Bombyx mori: one gene and its partners. The protein of the gene in region 2 purifies or fractionates together with the protein of the main gene of each other region. This does not show direct contact. Links are inferred from orthologs where the notes say so. Each region holds a gene or a part of one and is shown on either strand. Other genes may lie near its edges.

Region 1 (3,658 bases), on a different chromosome or scaffold from region 2:
CTGGCGACATGGAGGGTGCCCGCAGACAACAGATCATGCTGCAAACGCAATTAGCCAAGAATCTCTTCAAAATGGGACAGTTTGGTAAGTCTACAAATTTTTTATGAAATAACAAAAATCTAGAGATATATTTTTTGTTATGCACACTACTAATTAACTACATATATTAACTACTGGCTGACCCGGCAGACTTCGTAATGCCTCAATCGATAAATAAAAAACCTAAACTTTTGTATAAAATGAACTAAAAATAAAAACAAAAGGAATCCGTCCGACGGGGGACACATCAAAGAATAAACAAAATTGTCATCTTTATTTAATTCTGAGCATTTTCGTATTTAATCCAAATCCCAAATTTAAGCCAAATTGGTTCAGCCGTTCTCGAGTTTTAGCGAGACTATCGAACAGCAATTCATTTTTATATATATATAGATGTTTAGTTCAGCAAAATACTATGTCAAAAAAATTTCTATCTATCGTCTAATTGCACCTGCATGCTGTTCTGACCTTAATGTGGTGATCGACAGGAGCCATCAACGAGTACCTGCAGTCGGCGTACGGCGCCGCGCCCGAGCCCCCGCCCCCCGCCGACGACGCGCGCCCCGACGGTACCACACGCACGCACTTGCACACACTACTGGACCCTAGTCGCTAGGCAGGGATCGTCGCCTGTCATATCTGAGAATTAATTTAATCAAAATTCCGGTGATGTTTGGCGGAGTGCCCTGCCTTCAAAATGTGTGTGTGTATCGGTCGGTGAATTGAGATACCAAGGCTTGCAGACGACGACTATGTTGAGAAGTCGAGACCAAAGTAGCATCTAAAAGTCGATTCTGGACGCACCCGCTCATTGTCTCCTGCTGTCACTTCCGCCTGACCTCTATCTAGTTACTGGAGGTCACAAACACCGCCCGTAAGATATACATATTGACATCGTTATGTTCGTTGACAAGAGTATGTACAATTTCCAGAGATGGAGGTGTGCTCGGTGCTGGTGCCCGGCGGCGGCGCGCTGCCCCTGCACGCCGCCTGCGAGAGCGCCGCGCGCCTGCTGGCCGCCACCGCGCGCGCACTCGCCGCGCTGCCCGCCGCCACCGCGCTGCCGTACGTACCTGCGCACGCACCCGCACGCACCCGCACGCACGCACGCACCCGCACGCACGCACGCACGCACCCGCACGCACGCACGCACGCACCCGCACGCACGCACGCACGCACCCGCACGCACGCACCCGCACGCGCGCACGCACCCGCACGCACGCACGCACTCACCCACCCGCACGCACGCACGCACGCACCCGCACGCACGCACGCACCCGCACGCACGCACGCACGCACCCGCACGCACGCACCCGCACGCACGCACGCACCCACACGCACGCACTCGCACGCGCGCACGCACCCGCACGCACGCACCCACCCGCACGCGCGCACGCACCCGCACGCACGCACGCACCCACCCGCACGCACGCACGCACGCACCCGCACGCACGCACGCACCCGCACGCACGGTGGTAGATTCTGCGAAGCACGGCACTTACAAGGGCCAGTGCTAGCAACACTCCGTTTAGAGCGTTTAGAGCAGCCTTTCCCAAAGTGAGCGATAACGCCCCCTTGTAGACGCTGAAGGACCCAAGGAGGGCGGTAAGAGACCCAGAAAAAAATGGGGGCGTTGTGTAGAGGCTTGGGAGGCGATTTGTAATTTCATCTAGGAGGGCTCTTGAACACCGACTGAGCTCTCAGTTTTTAAGTAGGCGAAAAAATGGGGGCGCTAAAATAGATTTTGTTCTCAAAGTGGGCAGTAGACAAAGAAGCTGAAATAGCCTCTCTAGGCTACGAGCATAGGTAGGAAAAAACATTATTTTTGTGAACTTTGAGAGCAGATGGTTAGAACCATGGACATCAGCAATGTCTGGGCACTGTGGAAGGATTTCAGAGTACGATAATATAAGAGAGCAATGTCCCTTGCAAACACAGTCCTTGTATGTTTGCACGCAGCGAGAATCTGTTGTATCGTGTATTATGAGGAACTCTGCCGTGGCATCCCCCGCCCCCGGACCAAACTCCACCCTTGATTTGCGACCGCTGCACTACTGCACTGACCACTTCTACGGAATAAGCTTTACTTACACCAAACGTTTTTTTTTTTTTTTTTCAAGTGATTTTATGTCCTGGGGACTAAGACCCTCAGGTCAAGTCTTATTTTAATTGTAATGAAAACTTTTTATAGGAAAATTTTTTTTTATGAAATGAAATGAAGTTGATTAATATGAAACATGACATGAAATATAATCTCAGTAATATAGTGGTTATTTACTGAAATTTTTTCAGTGAACTTTTTGGAGGATCCCGATAAGTTCACACATTCAGTGGCTTTGTTTCATTTTCCCACGTTTGTGCCCTTTTACAGATATTAAACAATTAATAAACCACCGGTATTACACATTAAACACGAAGAAACTTCACACCTCGCGTTCCCGCCAAAAGAATATTCTTGATTGTGCTTTCTCGTATTACCAAGCGCTAAACGAGTAAAATAGTCCTTATAGTGAGCAGTAGGTTCATGTGGACCACTCGGGCGGTAGGCCGTATGCTCGTCTACTTCTAAAGACAACATAATATTGTTTTTTTATTGCCTAGATGGGTAGACGAGCTGACAGCCCATCTGATGTTAAGTGGTTACTGGAGCCCATAGACATCTACAACGTAAATGCGCCACCCACCTTGAGATATAAGTTCTAAGATCTCAGTATAGTTACAACGGCTACCCTGCCCTTGCTTCACGGCAGAAATAGACAGGGCGGTGGTATCTACCCGCGCGGACTCACGAGAGGTCCTACCACCATATAAGGTTCGGTATATATTCTGATCAGGTTCGAGATCCAAGTGACGCTGTTCAAGAAGTCGTGGGCCGAGCTGTTCGTGCTGGGTCTGTGCAAGTTGTCGCACGAGATGTCCCTGGGCACGCTGCTGCCGAGCATGGCGGGGCACCTGCACGCCGTGCTGCGGGAGCGCGCGTCCGGCGCCGCAGCCGCGCACGCACCGCTCGACGACCACGCGCCCGAGGTCTGCTGAATAGATATGACACATCAATCAGTTATAGATAACTCGACTTTAACTCGTCGTGGCTTAAAGGATAAGAAGTCCGGTGCATTCGTATGTAGCGATGCACCGGTGTTCGAATCCCGCAGGCGGGTACCAATTTTTCTAATAAAATACTTACTTAACAATTGTTCACGATTGACTTCCACGGTGAAGGAATAACATCGTGTAATAAAAATGAAACCCGCAAAATTATCATCATCATTAACCTGCCCTTCTTCCAGTCACCAGGGGTCGGTGCAACATGCTTCCTCCTTCCATACTCTTCTATCATATACCATTTCTTCACTCACTCCCCTCTTACCCATATCGTATTTCACGCTATCCATCCATTTCTTCTCATGTCTACCTCTTCCTCTTTAACCTTCCACATTCATAGTTAACACTCTCTTACCAACCTCATTTTCATTTCGTCTCATCACATGTCCATACCATCCCAAACGCACACTTCTCAGCTTCTCTGTCACAAGTGCTGCTTTCAGACTTCCTCTAACATATTCATTCCATCCATTCTATCCATTCTCGTTACTCCACACATCCATCGTAACATTCGCAT
Region 2 (3,626 bases):
GTCGTTCAAGACGGTGACTGCTCTGATACCATGACCATTAACGCTGGCGTTCCACAAGGTTCGGTGCTCTCCCCCATGCTTTTCATCCTGTATATCAATGACATGCTGTCTATTGATGGCATGGTTTGCTATGCGGATGACAGCGCGGGGGATGCGCAATATATCGGCCATCAGACTCTCGGAGCGTGGTGCAAGAGAGACGATCAAAACTTGTGTCTGAAGTGGAGAACTGTCTGGGGCGAGTTAGAATCTAATCCGTTGAAGACACACGTTTGCGCAACATTATAATTTAAGTAATTACTAGTAGCAGGACGTCTTGTGAGCCCGCACAGGTGGGTACCACCACCCTGCCTATGTCTGCCGTGAAGCAGTGATGCGTTTCGGCTTGAAGGGTGGGGCAGCTATTGTATTGTAAAAACTGGGACCTAAAAACTCATATCTCAAGGTGGGTGGCGGCATTTACGTTGTAGATTTCTATGGGCTCCGGTAACCACTTAACACAAGGTGCAATAAAAAAAATATACGGTTTAGTCTCGCATTTATTGTTATCATTAGATTTAGATATTGTTTCGGATGAGGAGAATAGTTTGAGGAAATGAAATTCGCGTCTGTTATCATGTCCGGTATAAAGTAAAGAGTTAAATCGATTTGGCAATGTCTAGACAATACCCGATGTTGTCAGCGCCTGGTCTGTTCAGTAAAAAGCGATCGTCCGCACCAAAGAAGCGTTTGACTCCGCAAGAATACTTTTGGAAGAAATGGGTACAAGATAAACGCTAGTATTAAATACTTATTACGCACCTAAATCTTTTTGGATTATCGAGTGTAGTTCATTGTTTTTGTCGATGATAATAGAGTACTTAGATTTATAATCTGTTTTACGTTGATGGAATTGTAATAAAAACTTGGCCTTAATTGCCAATACGAACTACGAAAAGTCAACATAGCAATAATAGGATGAAATACGCACATATGGATTATATTACGAGCAAACATACAGTCATTCATTTTATATATTGTTGGATTATTTGTACTGTACGAAATTAGTATGAAATCCAACGAAGGATCGTATGTTTCAGGGTAAGAAAGGCTTACAAATGCCAGTGCGGCAAAAGTTACAAAACCGCCCAAGGATTTAAGAGCCACTCCATATCGCAACACATCGCCAATAGCACAGTGCTGGCGGTCCCATCAGAGCTGGTCCGGCCGGCGCAGAGAATGCCCGCCGTCGTGGTGACGGCGTCGGGCTCTCGTCCGCACCACGGCCCCGACGGAGCTGACAGCAACAAGCTGGTTCGCATCTATGACACACTAAAAAACAAAGATCTCTCATCGTTTACCATCACTAAAAGTAATCTCGGCATCAATGTCCTATCGAAGCAAAGTCATTTACGTCACGGTCTCCCGTCGTCTCACTCCCCGCCCGTTACGAGTCTCGTTGAGAAAAATGTCGACGCTTATACTAAAGTGACGGTGCAGAGCGCCCAACAGGTTTACGCACAGTCTTTCACTAATGAGACGGCCAATTAATTTAGAACCTTTGCGATCGAAGCGAATTCAAAACGCAGGTTCGAATACACAGTTCCTAATAGTTTTGTTTTTGTTCAGATTTATTTAGCTAACGTAGGTACATAGACTATAGAGGTCGTCAAATGTATTATTGCTTACATGAAATTTAGCTTTCATAAAATTTTCTAGCACAAAAATGTTCTGTAGTAATGCTCCGCAATTTATTTATTTTCACGTTGACATTAGATTAGTTGTATTTATTTTAGTATTATTTGTGATTGTTGTTAATATTTATTTGATTTATTTGCATGTTTTTTTTCATCTGTAATTAGTCTATGGAAAAGGCTGTGGGAGAAATGTTTAATTGGCGTAAACGATTGGTTTATAAAATCGATCTATTTGTAGTTTAGAGTTGGGGTGCGTTCGGATATACATGAAAGTATTTTCCTGTCGCAATAAGAGAGTGGGACGGGAATGTTTTGTTCGCAAATTTTTTTTTCGTATGAACGCACTAATCGCACCTTTTAAAATTCAATACGAAATTTTTCAGTATCGAAAGTGTGTTTTTTAATAAAAGATCTTTCTAATCTTCTTCTATTTTTAACAAAAGTCTTCCTAATAGTAAACAAATGATAAAACACTTACTAACAGCAATAACGTACTAGGTTCCTCGAAATTATAGTTTTAAAATTTCTTTTTAAAATATTTTTGATTCTGGTAACAATATTTTTTTTCTCTTCGTGCCATACTTTGTGGCATGTACTTAAAATTATCTATCAAAATCGCTTTAGATTTATAGATAAACGTTGTAAACACACCCTCGGAATAAATTATTTAAAAAAAGTCAAAAAAATAGTGAACCGCACTTAGTATCGGTATGCTACAGTAATGAACGTTAATGTGATAAAATAAAATAAAAAATACAAAAAAATAAGCTTAACTGCATAATCTAATTTTAATACACACTAAATGTATACATATAAGAATGTCATTTTATGTGACTTGTGTATTTTTATTCAGTGCCTTTTTCTTTTATACTGTGGTAAATTATATGAAGTGCTTTTTTTTTGTTTTGTTGGTAAACATTTTATAGTTTTCGTGTTTGAAAAAACAAACAATTCTTACCAATGAATTAAAAATATTTAATACAAAATTTACATTTTGCGCAATTGGCAATACAGAAAAAAGGTTGTCACACACACAATGCCCATCCCTTAAGAAAATATCCATGTACTTAGTGATTAAAATTGCAGAGGTACGAGTATTACACAAAATAAAAGAAAAATGAGTTTTGTTTTAAAAATAAAGATTCTCATAAAAATGGAATTAAATTTAATTTAAGAACCGTTTGACGTGTGCTTAATTTTTTTTATTGCGTAACCAAAGTTTTTAGAATATAAGTAAACATTCATATGTAATGCTTACACGAGCGTATAATGATAAAATTTAATTTTATGTCAGTGGTTTGAATACGTTTTAGATTTAGATAAAAATTAATGCACGTTCTAAAAAATATTCTCATGTCCTTTTACATACTTTATATGTTTTGTCCGCACTTGATTTGTATTTTTTTGTTACTAATAATTGAAGGATTAAAAAACAAATCTCTCAGGAAGCCAAGATTGTTTTGATTGAAAATAACAATTGGGAATAGGGAGTGTAAAGTTGGGACCATCTGTCCCTTTCTGTTTAACAATTCGATCACAGTACTCTTGGAATATCGAGTATATGTGTTTAATAGCGCTGACGAAATTTACGAAGTATTCAAAAGGATTATTTATTTTAATTAAACAAATCTAATGAATAGTGGTTTCAACTTCAACAATAAGCACAAAAAAGCGTCGTCTATTTCATGTTTGGCGAATAAAATTCTTTGCGCATTTCTGTTGCAAAGCAGTTTTTCATTCTGTGTGCTTAGTGCGAGTTATTTAACGTTCTCGATAACGTAAAAGTTAGGTCATATTTGTATGGGATGGGATCGTTCGCCTACGTTTGCCGCTAGGGGCGCTGTTCCAACCGCATACAAAATTGGGTTAACTTTTACGCTATCGAGAACGTTAAAAAACTCGCACTAAACACACTGATTTGAAGGGAGAGAGGATCAATAAGATTTACAG
Region 3 (4,130 bases), on a different chromosome or scaffold from region 2:
AGGCCTAAAGGACGAATGTCAAAATCTGATGACATTGACACCGTGTTGAAGTTTATTTACGAGAGGCAGAGGGGAAACTCGGCGGGACATAGCTCATAAAATTAACTAAAGAAAAACTAAGTTTCAAGTTACACACAAAATATATGTATCTAAAATTTGAGAGAAATTAATGTGAGATATTATTTTATTTTCCGGAATTCCTTAAAAATAATTAAAAAGTCGTTTGAATGCTGATAATTAATTTCGTGTGACTCGTTTCAGGCCTAAATGACAAACATGACCCTAAACGCATACTGGGAATAATAACCTATAAGGACTTTAAAAGATTAGATTTTTAATTGTGTCGAATCGGTAGGCGATTCTAAGGCTCACTTGGCACGCGATTATCATCCCTAACGCCCCACGACATAGACAACTCAGTGGATTGTGGAAAATAGTGGAAATATTTTTTTATTTTTTTATATCTTAGATGGGTGGACGAGCTCACAGCCCACCTGGTATCAAGTGGTTACTGGAGCCCATAGACATCCACAACGTAAATGCGCCACCCACCTTGAGATATAAGTTCTAAGGTCTCAAGTATAGTTACAACGGCTACCCCACCCTTCAAACCGAAACGCATTACTACTTCACGGCAGAAATAGGCAGGGTGGTGGTGCCTACCCGCGCGGACTCACAAGAGGTCCTACCACCAGTAATTACACAGATTATAATTTTGCGGGTTTCATTTTTATTACACGATGTTATTCCTTCACCGTGGAAATCAATCGTGAACATTTGTTGAGTACGTATTTCATTAGAAAAATTGGTACCCGCCTGCGGGATTCGAACACCGGTGCATTGCTCAACACGAATGCACCGGACGTCATATCCGTTAGGCCACGACGACTTCAAAAAATATGTCATAGATCTATCTTATTTAAAAAGTGTATTAGAGTCTAACTATCATAGATTTATACACTTAATATATTCGAGATAACTATACTGAGACCTTAGAACCTATATCTCAAGGTGGGTGGCGCATTTACCTTGTATGGGCTCCAGTAACCACTTAACGCCAGGTGAGCTGTGAGCTCATTCCCCCATCTAAGCAATAAATAAAAGAAATAATAATAATTGAACACGCCAACTAACAAGCCGCTGAACGTAACTTCTCGGGATCCTCCAAAAATTTCACTGAAAAAGTCTACAATGAAATGACAACCATTTTAATGAGATTATATATTTTCTTCCTATATCATCTCATCTTAATTGATTTCTTTTTCATTCCATTTCGTTTTCATTTCATTTGATTTCATTTCATGCCATGTTTTATATTAATCAACTTCATTTATATGTAAAATTATAATATGAAATAAAATATTATAATTTTACATATAAAAAAGTTTTCATTACAATTAAAATAAGACTTGACCCGAAGGTCTTGATAACCAGGTCATTAAATACTTTAAAAAAAATATATTTGTTTTGTATCATGTTTGACGTTTGTATCATAGAATAAACACTTATTAATTGTGTTCTAAACAGTTAAATAATAAAATAAAAATAATATACTTTCAAAACAGTAAATACACATTACATGGACAATTAAACAACTATAAATAGTTATGTAATCTCGAAACTCCATTTCCAAAACATAACCTCAAAATGAGCTCGATACAAGAGCGTCTTCAGCTCAAAAGAGTTCCTCTGGACACTTGGAATATACGTGAACAGCTATGCCTGGCCTCCGCCGTGGTCAGAAGCGGGGATCAGAACTGGATGTCGGTTTCCCGCGCTCTAAAGACCCTTGGCGAGCCAAACAGGCCTCCGGACTGGTATTCCCAAAAAAGGTTTTGTTTTTCTTTTATATCTACTATATAATTATTGATACAGGTTTGAAATAGCTTGCGATAGTGAAGTGGTGGCTGAGTTGATGAGAAACACATTCGTTTTTACACATTTATTTTTTATTTTCAAACCATTTTTGCATTATTCACCAATGAAAATTCCACCACGCTTTCCACGTTATTTGAACTCGATAAAACTTAAAATTATATTCAGTAGAGCTATTATAGTATTTAGTAGGCTATAATAGGTCAACACACACTCCTCTCTCTCTCATATCGTCATTCACACACTCCATCCATGTCTTCTTTGGTCAAGTTTTCCCCCTCTACCTTGCACTACAATTTCCATAAATCTCCTAGTCTCATGCATCTCCTCTCTACGCATAACATGTCGATACCACGTGAACTGTCCGCTCTTTAAGTCTTTCCACTCGCTAAAAGACACCCTCTATAACTTTGACAACATTAGGATTGGTTAAACACAGCTCTTATATTATATGGCGGGTGGCCCCAATAATTAAATGTTCAAAAGAAATGTTAATACAACATTTTGACAAAACAATAACACCGAGTTAAACAAAATAAAATGAGATCATTGTCAAAAGCCAATTGAATATTCAATATTATAAATAATTTATAAAAATATATTATCAAATAAACTAAAATAAGTAGCATATATAGCAATAAGTTTGTTCTACACACACTTATCACATTTTATTATTATTCTCATTATCCTCTCGCAGGTCTGCTGGAAGAGATTTCTCAAAGAAATAAGTAGTGCCTTTGTACATAATTTTCCTATTACTCTGTACTGTGTCTTGTTTTCTGTGTGTACATAAATAAATAAATAAAATAAATAATAAAATAGCACTAGCTTTAAAATAAAATCATTTAATGTAATTACACTTTGGAAAGAGTTCTGATATAATGGCATATAAAAAGAGTCTAACTAAGTATGTACCTTCTTTATTTAAAATCTATGAAAAAATTTAAATTTTGCAGATTGCTCCTTAAATCCCCAGTAAATTAATCCTATTCATAAAAAAATTAACAAAATTACAAATAACTTATTTGAAAGACACTAAAGCTCTAATTAATTATATTCATTCTATTATTTTAAATAGTTATATTGTTTATGAGCTTATTCAATCCATATCAAACTGCGTAGATGTCATGTCTTCCTCTGAAGCATTGGATAGCTGAATGATAATGAGATTTAGATCTACAAGAACTGTGGGCTCCGTTATCCGTATGTCATTAACACATTTCCATCCATCAGCTGTGCTGCACAATATGGAACGCTATTAGAACATGTGGAAACGCCGAAACGAAAAAAGAGAAACTCTGACGGTGGCGTGGAAACTCCACAGGAGAGTATATTGAAACGTTTAACCCAAGATCGGATAGCCGAGATCCAGAAGAATATTGCTGAAATGAGTCAACAACATGAAGTAATGAAGGTATTTAATTTTCAAGTGAAACTTCTTTCTTTCTTCTTTATGAGGGTAAAATTTTTACAGAACGTCACGCAGGTATGCAACGGAAGGACATCAAACTACTATTAAAATTAAGTACTTGTCAAATGTCAGTAGTAGTAGTTGTTGTATTTTTCCAACTGGAAAGGCAAATGTATCATATCATACAGCCTAATATTTTATTTTTTTGTGAAAAATGTTAATAGGAATTGAAATGAAATGAAAAGAATTTGGAACATAGCATGAAATTAAATTAGTCAATTCAATTGGCAAAATATTAGTCATCTACAATTTAGAAATCTAAGCATAATGTGAATGTCAACACTGAGGTTTGAGATTGACATTTGACAGACTTTTGGCGGGAACATATCTTCCTTTTTCCCTTCTTCTAAGTCTTGGAAATCTAAAGTTTTAGATTTGCATAAATATAAGTAAGACTTATAAATTAGTTCGCCAAAAAAGTTTCACTTCTGACATGTGTACTTTGTACGCACGCACTTTTTTTTTTTTATAAATCTCAAGCTTTTTATAAAACTTTAAGTGCTGTCAGAGTTGTTAAGTATTGGCTAATATCTGACCATTTAGTGACAGTTCGGTGTCAACATCAACATCAACTTTTAAAAGGTTTTATAGCCTAGTAATGAGAGTTTTAAGTCAAAGTCTTATTTTTACACACCAGTGCATCGCTACATACGAATGCACCGGACCTCTTATCCTTTAGGCCACGACGACTTCACTTTGACTCATAAATATAAGCTAGTAATATATCTTTCTTTACCTTTGTACCACAGGATGAATTATCGGAGATCCGTAATCCTTCAACGTC

What was found.
Region 1: the proteins of juxtaposed with another zinc finger protein 1 (region 2) and Or purify together in Homo sapiens (affinity purification with mass spectrometry; 4 studies listed by BioGRID and IntAct, with this or other methods). This does not show direct contact. The link is inferred for Bombyx mori from reciprocal best matches to the Homo sapiens genes JAZF1 and NR2C2.
Region 3: the proteins of juxtaposed with another zinc finger protein 1 (region 2) and bromodomain-containing protein 8 purify together in Homo sapiens (affinity purification with mass spectrometry; 3 studies listed by BioGRID and IntAct, with this or other methods). This does not show direct contact. The link is inferred for Bombyx mori from reciprocal best matches to the Homo sapiens genes JAZF1 and BRD8.

Annotation. Positions count from the first base shown.
Region 1 is NC_085133.1:379,741-383,398, forward strand, and holds part of Or (nuclear orphan receptor), read left to right. Parts: coding exon 1-84; intron 85-527; coding exon 528-608; intron 609-971; coding exon 972-1,104; intron 1,105-2,873; coding exon 2,874-3,066; intron 3,067-3,658. UniProt on the Homo sapiens protein: Orphan nuclear receptor that can act as a repressor or activator of transcription.
Region 2 is NC_085112.1:4,199,291-4,202,916, forward strand, and holds part of juxtaposed with another zinc finger protein 1, read left to right. Parts: intron 1-662; coding exon of another isoform or gene 663-762; intron 763-1,079; coding exon 1,080-1,530; 3' UTR 1,531-3,626. UniProt on the Homo sapiens protein: Acts as a transcriptional corepressor of orphan nuclear receptor NR2C2. Inhibits expression of the gluconeogenesis enzyme PCK2 through inhibition of NR2C2 activity.
Region 3 is NC_085117.1:1,939,489-1,943,618, reverse strand, and holds the start of bromodomain-containing protein 8, read left to right. Parts: upstream 1-1,295; 5' UTR 1,296-1,647; coding exon 1,648-1,832; intron 1,833-3,108; coding exon 3,109-3,289; intron 3,290-4,095; coding exon 4,096-4,130. Other genes in the region: uncharacterized protein LOC101740762, read left to right, coding at 1-99. UniProt on the Homo sapiens protein: May act as a coactivator during transcriptional activation by hormone-activated nuclear receptors (NR). Isoform 2 stimulates transcriptional activation by AR/DHTR, ESR1/NR3A1, RXRA/NR2B1 and THRB/ERBA2.